Arabidopsis thaliana: one gene and its partners. The protein of the gene in region 1 interacts with the protein of each later gene in a pairwise test. Each region holds a gene or a part of one and is shown on either strand. Other genes may lie near its edges.

What was found. Proteins that work in one complex are often made in the same cells at the same time.
Region 2: the proteins of ATGRIP (region 1) and GC5 come close enough for resonance energy transfer, tested with the Arabidopsis thaliana proteins (one study listed by BioGRID).
Region 3: the proteins of ATGRIP (region 1) and ARL1 come close enough for resonance energy transfer, tested with the Arabidopsis thaliana proteins (one study listed by BioGRID).

What each region holds. Positions count from the first base shown.
Region 1 is NC_003076.8:26,404,385-26,412,097, forward strand, and holds ATGRIP (Golgi-localized GRIP domain-containing protein), read right to left. Parts: upstream 5,972-7,713; 5' UTR 5,698-5,971; intron 5,561-5,697; 5' UTR 5,505-5,560; coding exon 5,099-5,504; intron 5,010-5,098; coding exon 4,894-5,009; intron 4,717-4,893; coding exon 4,547-4,716; intron 4,436-4,546; coding exon 4,342-4,435; intron 4,184-4,341; coding exon 4,097-4,183; intron 3,997-4,096; coding exon 3,916-3,996; intron 3,791-3,915; coding exon 3,665-3,790; intron 3,339-3,664; coding exon 3,230-3,338; intron 3,138-3,229; coding exon 3,058-3,137; intron 2,866-3,057; coding exon 2,737-2,865; intron 2,650-2,736; coding exon 2,549-2,649; intron 2,378-2,548; coding exon 2,244-2,377; intron 2,159-2,243; coding exon 2,061-2,158; intron 2,001-2,060; coding exon 1,881-2,000; intron 1,752-1,880; coding exon 1,703-1,751; intron 1,591-1,702; coding exon 1,532-1,590; intron 1,387-1,531; coding exon 1,315-1,386; coding exon of another isoform or gene 1,309-1,314; exon of another isoform or gene 1,244-1,308; coding exon 1,196-1,243; and 7 more. Other genes in the region: ATSAC1B (Phosphoinositide phosphatase family protein), read right to left, coding at 1-84, 172-307; STR16 (sulfurtransferase protein 16), read left to right, coding at 6,173-6,261, 6,348-6,421, 6,485-6,609, 6,681-6,755. UniProt on the Arabidopsis thaliana protein: Golgi matrix protein playing a role in tethering of vesicles to Golgi membranes and in maintaining the overall structure of the Golgi apparatus.
Region 2 is NC_003070.9:30,027,878-30,035,828, forward strand, and holds the start of GC5 (golgin Putative 5), read right to left. Parts: upstream 6,025-7,951; 5' UTR 5,837-6,024; intron 5,714-5,836; 5' UTR 5,632-5,713; coding exon 5,484-5,631; intron 5,025-5,483; coding exon 4,081-5,024; intron 4,002-4,080; coding exon 3,930-4,001; intron 3,802-3,929; coding exon 3,727-3,801; intron 3,642-3,726; coding exon 3,527-3,641; intron 3,382-3,526; coding exon 3,320-3,381; intron 3,242-3,319; coding exon 3,194-3,241; intron 2,986-3,193; coding exon 2,701-2,985; intron 2,606-2,700; coding exon 2,486-2,605; intron 2,411-2,485; coding exon 2,327-2,410; intron 2,225-2,326; coding exon 2,159-2,224; intron 2,072-2,158; coding exon 1,973-2,071; intron 1,891-1,972; coding exon 1,672-1,890; intron 1,443-1,671; coding exon 1,328-1,442; intron 1,252-1,327; coding exon 1,031-1,251; intron 743-1,030; coding exon 683-742; intron 597-682; coding exon 483-596; intron 395-482; coding exon 320-394; coding exon of another isoform or gene 269-319; and 5 more. UniProt on the Arabidopsis thaliana protein: Golgi matrix protein playing a role in tethering of vesicles to Golgi membranes and in maintaining the overall structure of the Golgi apparatus.
Region 3 is NC_003070.9:8,528,540-8,534,158, reverse strand, and holds ARL1 (ARG1-like 1), read left to right. Parts: upstream 1-1,896; 5' UTR 1,897-2,212; coding exon 2,213-2,349; intron 2,350-2,654; coding exon 2,655-2,778; intron 2,779-3,065; coding exon 3,066-3,148; intron 3,149-3,238; coding exon 3,239-3,350; intron 3,351-3,448; coding exon 3,449-3,553; intron 3,554-3,637; coding exon 3,638-3,688; intron 3,689-3,809; coding exon 3,810-3,899; intron 3,900-3,992; coding exon 3,993-4,101; intron 4,102-4,221; coding exon 4,222-4,424; intron 4,425-4,579; coding exon 4,580-4,876; 3' UTR 4,877-5,095; downstream 5,096-5,619. Other genes in the region: AT1G24110 (Peroxidase superfamily protein), read right to left, coding at 5,341-5,619. UniProt on the Arabidopsis thaliana protein: Plays a continuous role in plant development probably in the structural organization of compartments. Seems to not be involved in gravitropism signaling pathway.

The DNA.
Region 1 (7,713 bases):
CTGCCAGGAGCTTCAGCATCCCAACCACACCGAAAATGGAGCGGATTTTAGGGACACGCAAAGAGTTGCATTCTGCTACTTGATCTGAGACAGGCAAGAGGATGCATTACACATACATGCATAAGAGAACAAAAAGATTCCAATATAACGAGGCAAAAACAGGAAACACACCAATGAGCTTCATGGAGCCGTCAAGACGACTAATATCCAAACATGAAGCGGAGGAACCATCGGTTGGCTCGATGACGTACTGATCAGGGAATTCCCACAAACGCAAGCCAGAGTGTATCTTGAGCCTACTCACCATGGCTTCCAGCAAGAGGAAGAAGAACCAATCACCTTCTTCGTTACGAGATTTGAAACTAGTAGGCGAAATGAATTCCGCTCAATTAAAATGGCCTTCAAGGCAGTGAGAGTGAGACCCGTTCAAATTGATTCCGTACATAACGGTTGACCAATAACAACAAGTCGACGACCGTTATTATTATACTATCTTTGTAGTTAATTTTGCGTTGACTTTTTTAGTTTCATTAATTCCGATAATCAGCGGTTTTCTGCATGATTACAATAGACTCCATTAAAAATGGCCCAACAACTCAATTCAGTGGCTTATCCTTTCTTTACATCTGGACAAAAAGTGTTTTCTTGACTTTTAGTGTTCATTACACAAAAACGAAGGACTTAAACACAATGTCGTATGTATGTGTATGTATCTTGGCCCAAAAGAATGTGTCCAGTGCCCACCCGACTATGAAAACGAGAATCTTGAGAAGACTGATAGACCTGAACCCTCACTTGCCGGACTTGGAGTCGCCTCTGTTGTTGTTGCCGCTGTTGTTGAGCTATGGTAGGCTTGCTGACACTTCTGGATCTCCTCTGGACTGAACTGCAGCAACATCCCCACTACAGGTAGTAAAGCCTCCACTTCACCTGCAATTATCACAAGTTAATTTACCCCTAAAACATCTACTTCGTGAATCCACCTTTAATCTCCAGGTTTTTTAACCTGTTTCTAGCAGTTTTAATATCACATTCTTTAGGTATGTCATATCCACGCCTTCTCTCTTCTGTTTTCTTTCCATCTCCCTCAACTCCGTCTTTAGCACTGCTTCCTGTAATTTAGCATACCACCGGAAGTTTGAAATAAGATCCTAAGAAACTGGCAAAGCAACCAAACTCTCGTGTAATCACATACCTGTTGACTGTGAAGACGGTTTTCTCGTTCAAGCTCCTCGATTTCCTCCTGATTCAGAATAAACAGTTACTAATTGCAACATGTGCAGAAACAGATCAATGCAACCAATTCTACTACACCTGAAGAGCTAAAATATGGCGCTGTGTCTGTGCTAACTCTTCTTCTCTCTGAGCTTGTTGCCTTGCCAATATCTGAAATTTGATTATTATGTGTCATGATTAGCTCTCACTGATTTGTCCCGTAGGCCATAGCATTACATTTGAAGGAAATTAAGTTCTAGGATTAAAGATCGCTCCTTGCTCACACAAGCAGACAGCTAACATTACAAAATCCTACCAGAATCTGGTGCTCTGCTGCAGAAGTGCTCAAGTTAGATACATCCTGCTGTTGTGACTCTGAAACCCCGTTTAAAGAAAATAATAGGTTATTGATGACAGGGAACCCACTGATTCATTCATATAGGGAGCCCTTATTAAAAAAATATGGTATCAGGAAAACATCTTGTACCTGTGTTGTTGTTCCCATAGTGGTGAACCTGGGATGGAGATTTGTTCCACTTAATGCCACATGAAGAGTGAAAAGTTTCAGTGCAAATTAAATGAAAAGTTACTAGCGTAAAACCAAAGATAAAAAGGAGAAGTAAGGTAATAAGCAAAAAAAAAAAAAAAAAGAACCATCCACATACTACTGGTTTTGACTCCATAGATTTTCGAAGATTTGTCATCTCATCCACAAGTCTCGATATCTCTCGATCCTTCTCCTCAATGAGTCTATCTGCAAGCTCACGTACTGATTCATGCTCCTCCTGCAGGTATGTCAGTTAGACAAAAAAACTTTTTTATGAGTATAACAAAAAGTGATTTACCTTCATTCGTTTATTCCGCAGTTTGGCATTTTCTAGTTCTTTTTCTATACCTTCTGCAGGTGAGGCTTCATTTTGAGCGGTCAAAGCTTCACATCTTCCTATAGATTACTGTAGCCTTTTAGGAAGGGAATTTCAATTTCCAAGAACTAATGAAAAAACCGAATTTAGATTTGAATCAATTACGTCGCCATGTTTCTTCTAAAACCCGAAGGTCTTCTTCCCAAGCTTGTTTCTCCGCCTGATTGCGAGCAACAGTGGAGTCAAGCTTCACTTCAAGACTTTTGATCTGCTCGCTGGCATCTTTAAGTGCTCCAGCTCTGAAATATATATGAAACAAAAATAGCTCAGACGACCAATATATGTCTGAAGAACTCCATAACCAGTCCCCTGAGAACACCATTTCTCAGTTGTTTTCTCTGGCAAATTGAGGAGAATGAGCAGCCAACCTCCGGAATCAAACATGAAAAAGATTCAGTGTCAATATATACCTCTCTTCAAGTTCTTTCTCAAGGCTAGCCAAAGCACTCTGAAGATCTTGCTGTGCCCTATCCCTCTCTGCAGATACCAAATATACTTCTTTTTCAGCTTCCTAACACCACCCAAAAAGATAATTAGTTGGTAAGCACCTTGGCAACCATCTAAAAATATCTCCATCTTAAGATTCTAGATAACTTACCTTTAGAGCTTCCTCAAGAGATTTAATTTGTTCAGAGTCTTTAGCTGCAGCCAGCTCCATGTCCTTCTTTTGCAAAAGCGCGTGAGCACGGATCTTGTAAGAAGAGAATTCACTTTGGAGCCGGTTGATCTGTGAACAGTTACAAGGAATTCAATATGGTTAAATGAAGACTAGCTAAAGCAGAACATTCCTTAAAGCTCAAAATGGCTCTTTGATTCCATAATAATTCACGTTATGTGATTAAGAATGGATGACTAATAAATTCGTTCACCTAACCAAGGCTACAATAGTTTCCAAAAGAACCAAAAGAAAACTATGTACCTCTTCTCTTGCACCTTTGAGTTCCGCATCTTTTGTGCTTAGTATCTGGGTCTGCATGGACATTTCAGATCCCAGCTGACCTGACAATTTATATGAATGAAATGTCTATAGTCCATAGACAAAAGTAAAACATAACTAGATTAGTTCAACGTTTATGAACTCCGTCAATTACTTCTCATTTTAGCCACTTCGATTTCGGCCTGTAAGTAGTTGCTTTCAGCGATTTCCAGTTTAGATTTAAGGGCATCGCATGAAGCTTCCCAAGTCTCCTTTTCCTTTTCCTAAAGGAACAAAAAAAAATCATGGCTTCTATGAATTACAACAAAAGAAAATAGAGGAATTTATATGGCCAAACAAATAGAAACTCTAAACATGCTGTCTGATGACAGACTGACGCCTTAGATCATGTTTACAATTATCTATACGCACTCCTATATTCATTCCCTGGTTAAAACCATGCTAGTAAATCTGCTAAATGATGGAAATCATTTGACGAGTAGTATGCAAAACAATGTCTTAGAATATACGAATGGGCAACAATAACGAAGGACAAATGACAGTTGGCATCAGAGAGTCCTGCGAATCCATCTTTAAACATTCCACTTACATTCTCTGATTTAAGGTGTGCAAGCTCTCCTTTAAGAGTTTCTGCAGCAGCCCTTAGCCTTGCTGCTTCGCCAGTTGCAGCTGCCTCCATCTCTGCAATTTTAGATTCCTTCTCTGCAAGCAGTACCTAAAAGAGGTGTATACTTGGTGTGAAGAATTTATCACTTATTTCAAACTATTCTCTCTCGCTCATTTGAAAACCAAAGCACATCATCCAGTAATAGAACTAAAGAATTTAGTCAAAAGACTAACCTGCAGCGACGAAATGGTTTCGGCTGCTTTGTCCCTCTCAGATAGAGCATCTACGACCTGTGCTTCCAAACCCTCTAAGTTCTGTCAAGAAGGTGGAGAGAAGAGAAAACCTTGGATGTCATTAGCGGAAAATGGTGGCTCATAGCATATAAGAAGTAACACAATCGCTGATGCTGACTACCTTTTGATGCTTGGCTGACAACTCAGTAACTGCAATTTGCTTTCTCTCTTCCACAGCTTGTAATTGCTTTTTCAGGTCCTCCAGAATCTAGGATTAAAGCAAGTACGCATATGAAGCAGAGTATACAGAGCCATCCCTCCCCCCCCCCCCCCCCCCCCCCTCTCTCTCTCTCTCTCTGTCTCTTTTGTCTCTCTATTTTTCTATATATTGCAGACTAGTATTACAGAAAATGAAAGAGATCAAACCTGGTCCTTATCAAGAAGTGACTGTTGCAATGTCTCAATCTTATTTTCTTTAGGCTGCAATGAGCCACGTAGTTCCTCGATAGTATCCCTGAGCCTGTGTAAAGAGAAAACTCCAGTACTCAAATTCTTAGAGGTAGCTGGAGAAGTGGGAAAGGCGACATTCATTTTATACAATTTCTGTAAAAATTATCTTCGAATTATTTACTTGTTATTGGCACTCCTTAGTTGTTGCCTCTCCGCATCCATTGCTTTAAGTGCTTCATTCGCCTGTTGCCTAGTGCGTTCCAGCTCTTGTTGCATGGATGAGTGTTGAGAAGATGCTCGTTCAGCTGTTTCATTCACTTCCCGGAAACGGGCGTCGAGATCATCTTTTTCCTGAAGATAGCAATATAATATACCACTGAGATTAAGACAGCACATAGCAGCGAAATCTATATGTCTGAAAATGCAGCATAGAAATTCCGAAATAGTATAAGATGGTTTTTGAAACTCACAGTAGCCTCAAAGTGGCTAAAACAGAAAGCATTATAAAATGTAGAGAAAGACATTCACCTTTTGGATTTCTTGAATGCGTTGTTTAGCCCTTTTGTGAAGCCTGGTGAATTTGGCGTCCAGGTCGGCATATTTCTCGTCGCGCTCTTTGATTTCCTGGTCCAGTTTCTGTTCAACTACACCAACAATGTAATAGCACAAGTTGAGAAAAGGCAAACACTGGTTCCGGTCAATGAATGAGCAAATAGAAAAGATGGCTTCTGACCTTGGGAAAACTTAGAGGAGTATTCTTGGGATTTAGCATCAGCCTCAGAGTATGCTTCCCTTAGATGCTCAAGAGCTTGCTCAGCTGCAACTCGAGTTTGTTTTTCCACATCAATTTCTCTGCTCAATGATGCGACCTGTTCTTGAAGTTGTTTCAGCTGAGCAGAGTCCGCTTCCACTTGCTCAGCTTTCTGGAGAGACCTACCTTGCGCTACCTCATCCTTGAGTCCCTCAAATTGGGATCTGAGAAAGTCATTTTCTAATCTCAGTTCAGCAATCATTTGGAGTAGCTGATCACCATTTTCTGTCAGAGTCTCGTTGGAGGCATCATTTAACTCTTTATCTTCTTTGATCACATGGCTCTCCTCTTCTTCTCCAACCACATCAGATTCCTTGTCTTCGGACATCTTGGCAGAGCAGATGTCAGAAAGATGAACCCAGACACTCAAGAGAGCGACGACAACTAGTAAGCGCAAAATCGGGATTTGAATCAACAATCAAAAGAGAAAGGAGTCAAGTCGTGAAATTCGAATAAACCAGCAAAAGCAACGCAAGGAGAAGAGAGATTTGAATGTAATCAGTGCCAGAGAAGAAGCTTACCTTGAGGTGAGGGATTAGAGAAGAGTGTGGAGGCAGAGAGAGAGAGGTCACAAACAAGGAATCACGATTTCGAAATATTGGATCGGATCTCAACCCAAAGGTTAAAAACGTCGTCGTCTCTTTCCCGTCGATCAGTGAGACGGTAAAACGTTGATCTGATCGACTGACGAAGAATGGTAAGAATTGTGTAAAGGGTGTTTTACTAATGAATAATTGCATTCAGAAGCCTTAAACCTTTTGAAAATTCATCAAGTAAACCCAAGACGAGGTTAGCTAAAATGATGCCGTTTTGGAATGGTAATATGAAAATATGAAGGACAGTCCGAAAACAGCTTAGCCCATAAAGCAGCAACTTAGGCCCATTATGTATTTGTAATATATGGCCCAATTATAATCACTTTCCCAACTAATTTATATAAAATGAAATTATTGAAGTCTTTGTCCAGTCAAATATAATAATAAGCCATTGAAAAAAATGGCGGAGGAGAGCAGAGTCCCATCATCGGTGTCGGTAACAGTCGCCCACGACCTTCTTCTAGCCGGCCACCGCTATCTAGACGTCAGGTACCGCCCCACCTTTCTCTTTTGACTATTTCAATCATCAACATAGCATCATTAGGATCTTGATGTAATGGGGATGATGAATATAGGACTCCAGAAGAGTTCAGCCAGGGACATGCCTGTGGGGCGATCAACGTGCCTTACATGAATCGAGGAGCATCAGGTATGTTTTTATTTGGTTAGTTGATAACTGAGTGATGGATATAATTTTGTGATTGTGAAACAGGGATGTCAAAGAACCCCGACTTCCTGGAACAAGTCTCCTCCCATTTCGGACAATCCGATAACATCATTGTTGGCTGCCAGAGCGGTGGTAGATCTATCAAAGCCACCACCGATCTTCTCCATGCAGTAAGCTCCACCACAAAGCTCTTCTTTCTGACTTTTACTTTGTTGGTGATATATAATTTGCGAATTTGCAGGGTTTCACGGGAGTCAAAGATATCGTCGGTGGCTATAGTGCCTGGGCCAAGAATGGCCTTCCTACAAAGGCTTGATGACTCACCATTCACCAAACATCTTTCCTTATCTCTTCGTCTCCTTCTTCTTCAATAATGCATCCTTTCCGCATGTAATCATCAATAAATGACCCTCCTTTCTCTTTGCTGTCTGATGTGATAGCTTGGAGGGAGGGGCTCATCGCATCTTTTTAAAATATATAAAAATACGAGTGTGTGTTGATTGCATCGAAATCTCTATATATATAGTTTAAAAAAAAAATCAATTAGAAAGGAGAAAGGAGCATCCGATCAACGATTATATCTACAAGATTGTTACCTTAAAGGTCCATCTGTTCTTGGCAACAGACAATATATGTGTATATATTGAGTGATCGATGAGTACACAAAGACAACAACACCATATCAACAACTCGATCGTGTGTACAAAACAAGTGGTGTGACCTAACGAGGCAAACTTCAAAATACGAGAGAAGCGACGAGAGAGGACTGAGATATTGACACGGCTCAATCAGATGAGTTAGTAAAAGAGAATCTGAGTGAACCAGGCCAATATCAGAGGGACTCTCTCGGAAACATAGTGTATCTGTTTTGTAAAAGAAACAAGAACGCAAGTGAGAGAATGTCTGTAACTGTAAGGAGATTAAGAAGAAGAAGGGAGTGAATGTGCAACTGCAATTCTGCGAAGCATTTAATAACTCTGCTACTCTCAATGCACCAAAGCTGGGCCACCTCTTTTATTTTTCTAACTTTAACCCGAAAACCAAGTGAATAAGGGAGTGTTGTGTAACCATCGTTTCAGGGGAAATCATTCACGTTTCTTTTAACTTACTGCTTAGTCTTCCACAAGTAGACATTTATGAAGGCACAACAATCCACATCTCTTCTTTCCCACTGTATGTAACCGTCCCTCTTTCGTTTTGTCTGCTTCTGCCCTCAGTTTCTTTCTCCTAAATAATCTTCTTATCGCCAATTCAATAAAAATACTATACACACT
Region 2 (7,951 bases), on another chromosome or scaffold:
GTCTCCAAAATAATAATTTACGATCGAATTCACTGTAAGAAAAATCTTCTTTCGAGCAGCAAAAGTTTGTTTTAAAAAGCCTCAAGTTCAACCAACACCTGAGAGACAAAACGACAAATGAATATAGTGGGCTTAGGTTGGTAGCTTATAGAGCTATACAATATTGGGGAAACAAGGATTAGGTGGTCCTACTCGTGAGCCTGAGCTTGCCAACACCATCTTCCCTTGCCCCTCATTGGATCTGCAAACCCAAAATTGCACAAACCCATTAGCCTGAGTTTGTCAACACTTTGACTCCACTTGTGTCTGTTTGCCTTACCTTGTTCACCAGCATGTTCACTTGCTCCCTGTACATCTCCTTCAAGTCCACTATATCCGCTCGAAGTTCCTCCAACTACCACCCAAACCCACTTTTTTATTAACTCAATGCCAACTACTGTTGTTAATGCTGGATACACTACTATTTTATTCACATATCTTACCTCCTCATCTCGTTCACCCATCAATTCCAGAGCAGCCGCGTGTCTTTGCCTTAGTGCTTCCAGCTCTGCCTTTATGCCCGGGACCCTATCTGCCTCCCCCCGTAGCTTCTCACACTACATCCACAGTTACCAGATATAGACGAAATATCATCATAACACTGAGCATAATATCAACTCTAAACTCTCAGCGCTATACATACCTCTGCTGTCATTTTGACTAGTTCTTCAGCCAGGGAATCTCGGATAGACTCCATTGATGCCTGTCCAAAGGCAAATAGACTCTTACAGTTAGATTCTACAGATAACGATGATACTAACAACCAGCCTATACTACCTCGACGAGTAGAGCTAAACCTTCTAAACCAGCTTATAAAAGAAGGCTAACCACGGTGTGCAACTAACCAATAATTTCTCAACATGATCCAAACACCCATAGTGTCCCATTGTAAGGACTGATGTCAACCTCAATCCCATTACTAAGCCAATTGCCAAAAGCCTACCAACAGAGTTACACAAAAATGTCCCAGTTGGATATTTTCTACACCTACCAAGCGGGTCATGTATGAAGCAAGTTCACCCTCTTTCTGTCGAAGTGTGGCTTCATAAGCACTCGGTGTGATGCTCTTCATGTAGTACGGACTCATAGTTGCCTCAGGCATGCTTCGCTTCTCAGAAAATTTATCTGAAGAATCAAGAGAAGCTTGCAGAAAATAGCTCTCCTCCATGCTTCCAAGGCTGCTTGCGCTTGATAGCTTTCTAGGCAAGCTTCCTGATGCAATAGTTAATGAATTACAGATGTGCAATGCCTGACTTATTAAGCAGTAGTATAGATCTAGATGCATCACCATTCTCAAAGGCAGAATTTTGCCTTGCTATAGGAAGCTGTTCAGAGACTGCCGAGGAATTGATACGGGCCGTTCTTTCAAGATCCAAACGTGAAGCCTTCTCCCTCTCTAGGTCCTGAAAAAAATAGGCCATATTGAGAAACTACTTGGACAATAAAGAAGAGTAATAAACTGGAACAGTTCGGTTGTTAATAGAAGCTACTCAGGATGAAAAAGTTTGGGAAAGCACTACTTTGATTGAATTCGCTAGGTACTTCAGTCCTTTAAATTCCGTAACTGATGGGGCATTTTTCATGGGACTAACTCTTATTAGATTAAGTTATGTCCATAAAGCAATGTAGAACCTTTTGAATAAGCTCGTTGTGGAGTAGCACTTCCTGCAACTCTTGCTTATGTTTTCTCCGAAGTTCCCTTATCTCAACTTCAAGTTGGTTTGCTCGACCTTCTAGGGTATCTGCTTCCTCCTTAGCTGCCAGATACTCCTGTCTATTTTCTGCTGCTCTCTGCCTCTCTTTCTCAAGTGACTTGCTTAACTGGCCCTGTTCTGCTCTGAGACATGAAAGCTGGATAGGAGAACTGGGTAAGCTAAAATTTAGAGAAAGCTGCGAAAATTGATGAAGAACAGTGTCAAAAAGCATAGAAAACCTGGGCCTCTAGAACATTGATCCTTGATAATGTTTGAGAGAGGCGTTCATTCACAGAGCGCTCTCGTTCTTCAGCTGTTGCAGCTTTACTTTCTGCTTCCTGAATATTTCTAGAAAGTGAACAAAAAGATAGAGAAAACAAAAATAATTGGCTGAATATAGCATAGAGCAGTGTTGTTCATAACACCTGCAATCGAGAATTCAGAGTTCTTTCTACAGCAGCCCAAGCTTCTGCTGTTCTATATGAAGTTTCCTATCGCCAATCAGATAAGAGGCATGCAATGTTACAATTTAATTTAAGATTCTAATCTCAGGAGAAGTTCTTTCAGAAAAAACATATGGGTCAATTTTTTACCTGCATAGCCTCAATCTGTCTTAGGAGAGGCCTTGTAGACTCAGGAACCTGTGTGATTAATTCCTCACACCTTCGCTCACTAGCCTATAAGAGTGGTTGGTTTAGCAAACAGTAAACAGAACAAACTATTAGTAACTAGAATTATGGTTCAAACGTAACCAAAAGGCGATAACCAAAGAAAGAAATATGCATAGAGACAACGAAACATCTTGATTTGACCTGATAGCGTCTTTGAAGGTCCTCAATTTCTCCACGGAACATGTCTTCCCTATACACTGCCTGTAAAAATTAGAGCCCACCGACTAGGTGAGTATAAATAAAATGATGAGATCCCAGTAGTACTCTATCCCAAATTTGATCGAGGAAGACAAAACCTGTTGCTCCTTTTTGCTTAAGGTTTGCCTCAATTCTTCCAGCGCCTGGACTAGCATAGATTCCCGCTCTCCAGCCTCCTTTAGACGATTCTCTAACTCTGACCTCGCTTCATTGTTGGTACGCTCCTCAGCTAACGCTTGAGCTTCCTTTGCTGCAGCTAATGCGTTTGAGTAATAGTCTTTCTGAGAAGTAAGTTCAGCTTGATGTTTTTCTATGGTCTCTTGCAGCAGCTTTTCTGTAGCTGTCTTGTCCCTTTTAATGCTTTCGACCTTATTTTCTTCCGACTGGCAATTGAAAGGAAAAATTAATGAAGCTAAGAAGCTTAACAAACTTTGCAAATGCTTTAGTTATTTAGATATTAATCCTGCCTACAAGAAGACTGATTTTCAAACCAGCCTTTCACAAAAGCTTCTGGGAAATCAAGAAAACCCCTTCAGGCAGTTTCATCCTTAATGACGTGGTTAATGAAACAAAAAAAAAAAAATCAATTACCTGAAGCTTTGTGATCAGTCCTTTCTTTTCTTCTTCTGCCTCTCTAATCTAACCCTCGTACAAATAAGAATTGCCATGAGACTGTTGGTATTGATAAAAATGAAACACATAGCGTTGAATATATACCTGAGCCCTTAGCTTCCTGATCTGAGCTTCTTGAGCAGCCTGTTTCTTTGAAAGCTCTTCGCCTGAAATGATTAGCATTAATATCAAGAGCTCAAGCTGAGCAAGAAATGACGTCCTTTCATTTTTCAGGTGTTCGCTTTCAACACCATTTTTTTATAACGAGAAAAATACGATCCATAATTCAAGCATTCCAAAAGGCTGTCTTACCTTCAGCCATAACTTGATTTATTATTTCATCCTTTTCTTTCAAAAGGGCCGCAGCATCACTTTTCTTGTTCTGTTCTCTTCTAAGTGTATCCCGCTCTTTGGTGAGAGCATAAACCTACAAAGATAAGCACTGTGAAGGCATATATATATATAATGAAAAGAAGAGAATTGAAAGAGAAGAATGATAAAAGATATAATACCTTCCTCTCAAGAGTTGCAACTCTCTGATGGTATTCTTCTCGCAAAGACTCGACTTCAGCTTCGTTAGATTTCCTCTGTTCCAGAGCAGAGGTTATTAGAATGTAGATTCAAAATCATTCCAAATGAAAGGAAGATGGGCGGAAGACTGGGGAAAAAAGTAATCCTTCATCTAATATCCCATATTCCGCATACTCTATTGTACCTTCAAATCCTCAGTGACAGATTTTAGCTGCTCATTTTCATGCATCAACTTCGCAATCTCATCAGCCTTTGCCTGTAAACAAATCCCCAGAAAATTGGTATAGAAGCACCATATCCGTAGCAAAACCTTTCATGAGGATCTAAAGATGTACCTGAGCTTGCCTTGCAGCACCTTGCAGGGCATTTTCCAACATTTTTATTTCCTTTTTGGTCTTCTCTAATTCCAGAATAACATCAGCAGAGTCGGAAACATTTGTCGCAGAGCTTGAACGCTGGCTTTCATTTAACTCACTAGTATCCAGTCTTGAATCTATTTCACGAGAAACAAAATCCACAATTCTCTCCGAAATTTCATCTGACGACGATCTCTTTGGTATAGAAGACTCGTAAGGAGAACCATCAGACTCAAAAATTAAAGACGGATGAGCAACAGGGGACTCTATCCTATTTACATGATTGATATCTGGTGAAACTTCAAAATTTTTAGACGAGGTTCTCCCTTCCAGATTTTCACCCAGAATTTCTTGTTCATTTGTTGTCTCATCCATATAAGTAATCTTATGCTGTCCATCTAACACAGGGGAGTGAACAGTGTCTTTGTTTTCTACAGTAACCTCTTTTGCTTCAGAATCCTCAGGCTGTGATTCCTCAGCCTCTGACTTGGGTTGCTCGGGCTGTGAATCTTGAGAAGCTGTCATTTCCAGCTTTTCATTAGGTTGAAGACTAGTCTTGTAACCTGAGGATTCAGGAGTCTGAAGAGAATATTCAGAGGACTCTTCGAGAAGTATCTGCGATTGCGGTTCATCATCTTTGGGATCCAAAACAACAGTTTCTGTTACCTCAGGATTATCTGCTTGATCAGCTTCTCTTCTCACGTTTGTTTCTTTATTTGCTTCAACAGATACTGCTTGTTCAGTAGCTAGCTTAACCGATCCAGCTTCTTCTTCTTTTTGTTCAATTTGAGACGGATTTTCTGTACGCACAGAGTCTTCCAATGTATCAGGTTTCTCATCAGAGGTGTTACCCATGAAGGACATAACGGGATCAAAGAGGCTTTTGGTATCAACTGCAGGTGGCCACATACTTGAAGCTGCATCTAAAAAGAAAGAACAAAAGGATTTTTGTTGTGAAAGGTACAAGAAACTCAAGACAAACTAGAGAAGAAAATGATTTGTGCTACAGTTAGGTAAACACAGAATACCCCTGAAATCATAGCCAGAAAAAGCTGTCACCAAGTAAACGCAAAGATCCAAAACAAAGTGTTTTTTTCAAATTCAGAATAAAATGCAATGGGTAGAATCTGAAGCACACTAGCTAAGCTAGTTCTAAGAAAAATAAGACAGAATCCCATAACTTGCAAGATTGTATTATTGCAACAGCAGATTATTGATCTAAACATCCTACATAAAGAAGAAGAAGAAAAATGGCAGGTCCTATCAACAAATGCGCCTTGAGTAATCAAATCCTATATTCCCAGCTGACTAACAGCAGATTATTGGGAAGGATGATAATATTATGTGTATTGATTGGAAAAAAAGTGAGAAGAAGAGAACACCTTCAGCGGCAGAATCGGACTTGTCGTCGAAGCCAAGGGCGTTGTCGAAATTCTTTTCAATGTTTTTAACGCTCTCCTGGAATTTATTGACAGCGCCAGTGAGATCTGGGAATCCTCCCAGAGAAACTTTGCCACTGAACCAAGCCATCTCTACTTGAGAGATATATCTGGAAACTCGATCGACTTAAATCTCAGAAATCACCGGACCAGATCCATCTCCAGCCCTGTGGCTTCCAAGGAAAACAATCAACCAATCGAGTTTAGATCCCAATTACATCACTGAATCAATTATTAAGACGAGGCGATTGGATAAAGCAGAATAGAGCTATCTATTGGGATCATCAATGGCTTACGAGAAGGAGATGCGTCGTCCTTGCCGTCGTGATCGAATTCCGGAGGAGAGAGACCCACCCCTATGTGTTTTATGTTTTTTTAGATCCAACAAAATCCAAATCCTTTTTTTTCCCTCGGCCACCGGCGGTACAAACGGCGTCGTTTCGCGGATTAGAAAAACGTTCTGTCTTGATATCATTTACTTCATTCTAAGCGGCTTTGGTCTGAATTTTTTATATACAAGGCCTGTCTCCGTTTTTGTAAAGGGAAAACAGTAGGATCCATTTTAGCCTCTGTAAGTAACAATATTGGGCCCCTAAAAGCCCACCCATTTTGGGGCCAGCAAACCAAGGCACCCTCGGTTCCGCACGCTCGCTAAGACGCTAACCTATGCATATGTTGATATGTTTTTTCTCTTCCTTTTGGTATGAATCTTGATTTGTTTTGATACTCATGATGTACATTCGTATTCTCTTACGTATTGTAAACCATCCTATTTCAGATCACGATTATATCTTTACATTTACATTTTTCATTTTTATTTCTGTTTGAATGTTACAATTTACTAGTAGAGTTATTCATTAAAATACTACAACTGGTATACAGAAATGTAATTTGAGTGATAAATTATATGAAATAATTAAGTAATATATGTGATATTTATGGATCCAAACAAAAACTAATTACTGGTTCATTTTCTATTTTAGATGTAAGCAAAATGTGTAAGATTCAAGGTATATATATATCCCAATATACGTATATATGTGGTACTCACTAGCTAGTAGCTCTCTCACAACTGTGTCTTTTGGTTTTCATCAGCTGATCCTCTCCAACTAACTATCCATCTTTTGTTTTGCGGTTGGACTTGGAGGTACCAAGAATATTAGCAACGTACGACTCGTATGGTATCATTTCCTTTGTACAAAAAGTGAATATCAAAATGCATTGTATTAATTATATATAAGTTAGTATATGGAGTTAGTTGTCCTCACTGTCTTTATCTGGCGCAATCTCCTATGCCATCATTCCCTCTTCACACGTACGTGTGCACACTCGATGTCACATTTGTATAAACACGTTTGCTTTTAGCGTGAGATCATCACCATATTCCATTTTTGGTGGGTCAGTTCTCTTTCTAGATAGTTATTTGTAAGGACGTGAATTAAAAGGGATCGTCGTCACTTGTTGAGATAAAAGAAAAGATATATGGTCAGTTTCTGCATCTTGGAATCAACTTAAGGGTTGTCTTAATTAATTTTGATAGACCCTACTTTAAAAATTAATTAGTTGCTTTCATTGGCCCTCAATAAGAAAAGCCAAAAAAGAAAGAAGACTGGTCTTGGAAGTTTGCCAACACGGGTAATAGATTAATGGTGAAAAGGGCGAATTTTTTTACCCAAAACCCTAATTAAGTAGAAGTATTAATCGAGAGCAAAAAAGAGAGAGAGAGTCAGTAGCCAAAAGGAATGAATGGAAGAAAGAAAAAGGAATCTCTATAGGCAGCATATATTCAAGTAATTAATTAAAGTAGATAGATAGAGCAAAAGGAGAGGTTAGGAGGCATTAATTAATTATTTAAGAGCATGTGGTGAATGTAAATGTTTATGGTTGCTTCCCTCTCTATACATTATGTATCTACCTTTCCTAACTAACAATTCCCTAGGCCGTACGACGACTAACAAAGAAAAAAACAAAAGAAACTGATAAAGCTTTTGAATTGTAGATAAATCATCTGCTACAGTTATACCATTATATATCTTATTAAAGACCTAAGTTTCCTTCACTATACGTCTTCGTCCATTTACGTACGTATTATACGGACGGTTTAAGCTACTATATCTATATTGTTAACAATGTAACTGTTGAGATATATCTTGCAATAATATGTCATGGTGTATGCATACGATAATATGAATCAATGTTTGAAATCTTGACGTGCCCGTGATACAATAAGATGATCAAAATTTCAAATTTTGTCAAATATTAAAACAACATACACATACACATGTGTCCAGGTGGCATTATAAAATGTATATATGGTGGATATAGAGAGAGAGGGAGATGCGTATAGTGAATAGGAAAGTAAGTAATAAAGAGAGGGTGGAGGAATTGGAAAGGGGTTGGAGGCAAACCCA
Region 3 (5,619 bases), on another chromosome or scaffold:
TGATTATGACTAATCTCTCTTTATTAGTCTATATACTTATGAATGTGATATATCATAATGGAGCTACCTAGGTTTTAGTCAAAAACCTACAACACTCGGTTATCGGAGTACACTTTAATATTACGATTTATAAATTTGTTCTCCAAATATATGAGATTTCTCAGTTTTGATCATCATTGGCTATGTTATTAACAATGACCTTCACGACTTCACACGAACTTATGTGTACACATTGTTTTAATGTTTAGTTTTATTTTTCTTTGTGAAATATAGAGTTAAAGTAAATTTAAAATGACGATAGAGAATTATAAAACTTATTCTACAACGTGGAAGTTGATCATCCATGTGGTGTGGTGGTTTTATGATTTGTGTTTGGTTGAAGTTATTAATCTGGAATATGTGTGTGAGGTCAGATGACCCCCCAAAAAACATTGATAAAAGAATTGTGGAACTTTTTAAAATAACGAATCACGTAGTTTTGTCTTCCACTATGACTGAATTTATATGTTATAATAGTGATAAATGGATATCGCATAATACACGTGAAGTATGGGGAAAGAAAAACTTTCACACTATAGTACTACTATACAATCTTTGTGTGCAGATAACTGAATTCTAAATTGAAATATAAAAATACTCTATGCAATTACCAAAATATATGTCCCTTCTTATTGCTTGATAAAATGCGAATGGAGGTTTAACATTTTAGGCGATTCAGTTATTGGGTTTCTAATTGTAAGGCCCAAACTTTAGAGACCCATGAATAATATATAGATTTTAGTACGATGATACAAACCCATCAAACAAGTCAACAGTCCTAAGCATATGACGTTTTGTTGTGACTTATGACCGTAAAGGGGACCAGTTCCAATCATTTTCGTAGTAGGAATCTGCTGATAATAATTTTAATTATAATGTAATACGTCCCGATCTCGTGAAGTGAAAGTAATATTTTGAAACTGCAAATATCTCATTCTCCAATGTATTTTTCTATCTAAAATAATCAAAAACGGTAAAGTATTTCTTAGACATTCTTATAAACAAATATTTGTTACAAACTAATCTTTACATTAGTTTAAAATGATCCTCGATAAAGCCCAAGAAAAGATTTGGCAAGAACACAAATTTATTAGAAAAATGAACCCAACATGATAATGAGCCTCTGATTGTGTTGAAGTGTCCTCGTCGTTGTGTTTTCATTTTCATTAATACTCAATTAATAATCTCATGTGGACCATTTTTTATAAAATATTCCTGAAAAGTTGTACACTGATGCAAGCCAGCATCACAACCTTTTTGTGAGGATAGGACAGAAAATAAAATAAAAACTTAACAATTTGACGTTAATCGCTAATTAAATTCGATTATACTCAAACTCAGCAGCATCAAATCAAATATTAAACTGTTATTATACTCATAAATAATTATTATTATATTGTTATAGTCAACAAAACTGTTACTATTCAACCCTACCTATATAGTAAAATCCTTTTTCTATTTTTGTTTTTACCATAATTATATTTTTTAAAATTCCCATATATGTCACATAGAAAAATCTTAGCTGTTTACAAAAACGTATAACAAAGTAAATATAAAAATTTGTTAATTGTTAAACTTGAACCACTAATATAAGTTGGGTACTAGATATTGTTGAAAACCATATTGTAAGTTATAACTTATAACTAAACCAATCCAAATAGAAACAAACATTAGAGAAATGATTAAAAAAAGGTCATAAATAACACATATGAGTTGGATTATTAATGTTAATTGATTGATTTAATCTGGAAACCTACTGTCTTGCTTCGCGTGAACACTACGCGCCTCCCAAAAACAAAGATGCCAAAACAAGAAACAACCTGCGGACCTCAAATCTCATAACCCACGCGCCGATATCACGCGCCGAACCAGCGCACTGTAGTGTGAAATATCCACAGTTTTAAATTTCGTCTTCTCTCTCTCTCAAACTATTTCTCTCACCTTCCTCCGACGATTTCTCCTTTGACAGTTCAGTCTTATCTCTCGCAAGGATCGGAGATATAGAGAGATACATAGAACCGTCTCGTAGCTCTCTTCCGCCGTCAATTTGAGGTTTCCGGGGAGAGAATTGTAGAAATGAAGGAATAATTGGAGAAGATTATTATCACCTCGCTGGAGATTCTATTTTGTTGAAGTGTGATTGATTATTAGGGGTTTTGGTTGTGAAGAGAAAATGCCAGGTCATAGATCCAAGTCGGAGAAGAAGGATGCTGATAAGCAGCTCCGTCGGGATCCTTATGAGGTTTTAGGAGTCTTAAGGAACTCTACCGATCAGGAAATTAAGAGCGCTTACCGGAAATTGGCTCTCAAGTAAGTTTAATTTGGTTTCTTATGTCTCTCCTAGAGTCCTAGTTTGAAATTTGAAATTTGCAATTCGAAAAGCTGTGTTAATTTTAGGGTTAGGCTATGAAGAAGAACCTTGAATTGAGTCAATTTAGGTTACCGATAAGTCTGGGAATTAGTCAATGACTACTTGTTAATCTGTGATTTGTTTAGCTAAGCCTAATCCGAATTACATTAGGGAAGGTGATGGTTTGGTCTAGGGTAATTACAAATCCTCTGCACAAGCTCTCTCTTTGTTTTTTATAGTCCCTAATTAATGTTTTGTGTTGCAGGTACCATCCGGATAAGACTGCAAATGATCCGGTTGCAGCTGACATGTTTAAGGAGGTCACGTTTTCTTACAACATCTTATCTGATCCGGAGAAACGTCGCCAGTTTGATTCAGCTGGTTTTGAGGTGAGATTTGTTTTGCATTGTGGGATTGTAGATTTACTCTGACCTCTATGTGTGGCAAGAGTTAATTTTTTGTGTGTGTGTCTTCTGTTGAATTATAGTTATCATGCTGTATTAGTCTAGGTTAAGATGCTGTTTAGGCTCTTATAGGACCCTGGTCTCTAGAAAATACTGCTTTTCTGTAGGGACGTTCTTAATCTGTGGTGTGCTTCGAAATTCTTTTAGCAGCTAATACTACGCTAGCATCAACTTTAAGACTTTGCTAATTGCAACGCGCTTCTCTTTCACAGGCTGTTGAAGCAGAAAGCCAAGAGCTGGAGCTAGATCTCTCAAGTTTAGGAGCTGTGAATACTGTGTTTGCAGCTTTGTTTAGGTTTGTTTCTTTTGATTTAGACTTCTGTTCGTTTCCTAAGCCCCCTTTTATGCAAGCTGAGTATATGTTCTGAAACTTCCGATGAATTAGCAAACTTGGTGTGCCGATAAAAACATCTGTATCTGCAACTATATTGGAGGAGGCTCTTAATGGCAGAGTTTCAGTTGATCCTCTTGTACTTGGACAAGCTGTGTCTAAAAAGGTGTGTTGTTTTTAGCGGATGCCTAGTAATGATCTCATCTGTGTATGTAATGAGTGTCTGTCTCCATATAAGTCTCATATATGCCATGGTTCTTACAGGTTGAAAAGCAATGTGCACACTTTTATGCTGTCACAATATCAGAAGAGGAAGTAAGTGCTGGGTTGGTCTGCAGAGTAGAATCATCTAGCAAAAGCAAATTCAAGGTTGGTTCGGGCAGAGTCTTTCCTGTCAAACTGGTATGGAAGTACCAAAGTATAATGAACTAACGTGTGTGTCTGCTTGTGCAGCTACTGTATTTTGATCAAGAGGCCAACAGCGGATTAAGCCTAGCCCTGCAGGTATTGTTGTTATCAATTGAAGTGAAAACAGTGTTTTTCAGAGGGTTTTCATATATCATATAAATATAAGTAACTCAAATGGTTGTTTTCTTCTTGTACATTGAATTCTACGTGGATACAGGAGGACAGCAAAAGAACGGGTAAGATAACATCTGCCGGAATGTACTTTCTCGGTTTCCCTGTCTACCGGTTGGATCACACAATTAATTCAGTAGGTTCACTTCACTATGTTCTAAATTTACTTCACCTCATTCTGGTGGATGAGTTTCTTTTTCCCAACAAGACTTCATTTTTTTTGCTCTAGATGGCTCAAGCAAAAGATCCAGAAACTGCCTTCTTTAAAAAGCTTGATGGTTTTCAGCAATGTGAGGTAACCGAGCTAAAGGCCGGCACGCATGTCTTTGCTGTCTATGGTCAGTTTTCCTGGTTTATTATCTGATTACAAATTCATTTATCTTCTCCCTTTTATATCTGTCTGGATTCAGTATTCGATTCAACTTGGTGATCATCTGATGACATTTTCCTTTGTTCAGGTGATAACTTTTTTAAAAATGTGAGCTACACAATCCAAGTCCTGTGTGCTGCCGCTTTTACGCAAGAAAAAGAAGACCTCAGGTCTGTAGAAGCTCAGATACTCACTAAAAGAGCAGAGCTGGCAAAGTTTGAGACAGAGTACAGGGAAGTACTTGTGCAGTTCACCGATATGACCAGTCGATACGCTCAAGAAATGCAATCGGTTAGTCTTTTATTCATGAAAGTTTATAAATTTCAAACCACCATTCACAGAAAACGAAGAGAAGATGTGTCATGACTGAGTAAATTAGACCAGATTCTATGTGTAAGTTTCTGAAATGGTTAGCTTAGTCTGATTATCTTATGGTCTTTTTGCAGATCGATGAGCTCTTAAAGCAGAGAAATGAAATTCACTCAGCATACACGACGATTCCATTGATGAAGCGGAGCTCGAGCAAGAACAGGATGAGAAAGAGCTCATTCAAGAAGGCGGCGGCTAAGGCGCCTGCTCCAACTGAACAGGAAGAAGAGGAAGAGGAAGAGGAAGAAGAAGAGGAAGAAAGCAGCAGACAGAAGAACAAGAAACCAAGTACTTGTGATAAGTCCGAGACACTAAAGAAGAAGAGCAAATGGTTCAATTTACATTTGAAATTGGACAAGAAAAAACCTTGTTAGTTTCTTCATCACTTTTATCAAAGAAAAAGATTCTTATCCATTATTTTTCTCCCTTACCTTAGGGATCGGTGTATCTGTAAATCTTTTGCTATTTTTCTCCTTCAACTTATCATTAGTATTAGTCAACAATTTTATTTTGATAATTGTTATCTGTCAAAGTTCTCTTAAACATATTGTGCCCTATTGAACCCGAGATCACATATGACAAATGGATCGCAAGTATGGAAATTTTGTGATATCCAATTTTGTAACAGATTATTCAATTTGACACATGCAAAAATTTAGATAACACATATTGATGGCACAAAAAATTTCACGAGAGATTTTTTTTTTCCACCCGAAGGCATGAATCATGATTGCTACATTTTCAATTTCAATATATTAGCAACTCAATATCACAAGACCAAATTCACTAGTCACTACCAAATAAATTTTGAATGTGTGTTAAAAGGGGTAATCCTAATTTATCCCTTGTAGTCATTGTATTGATCACACCGCCTTCTTACTTCTCCAAGCTTCCCCGTCTTCACATTCTTCTCACTAACTTTCTCCATAGCCTTCGCAAACGCGTCAAAGAACGCCGTTTCGTCCTCCGCGTAAAGATCCACCAGCGAGCGCGTCCTGTTGTCAAACGCAATCGCGTGATCGGACTGGAGCAACCCGTAACCGTGCTTCAAATTCTTGTAATACATATTATCAAATTTCCCTGGAGTAAAAACGTCATTAAACGCAGACATCTGTTC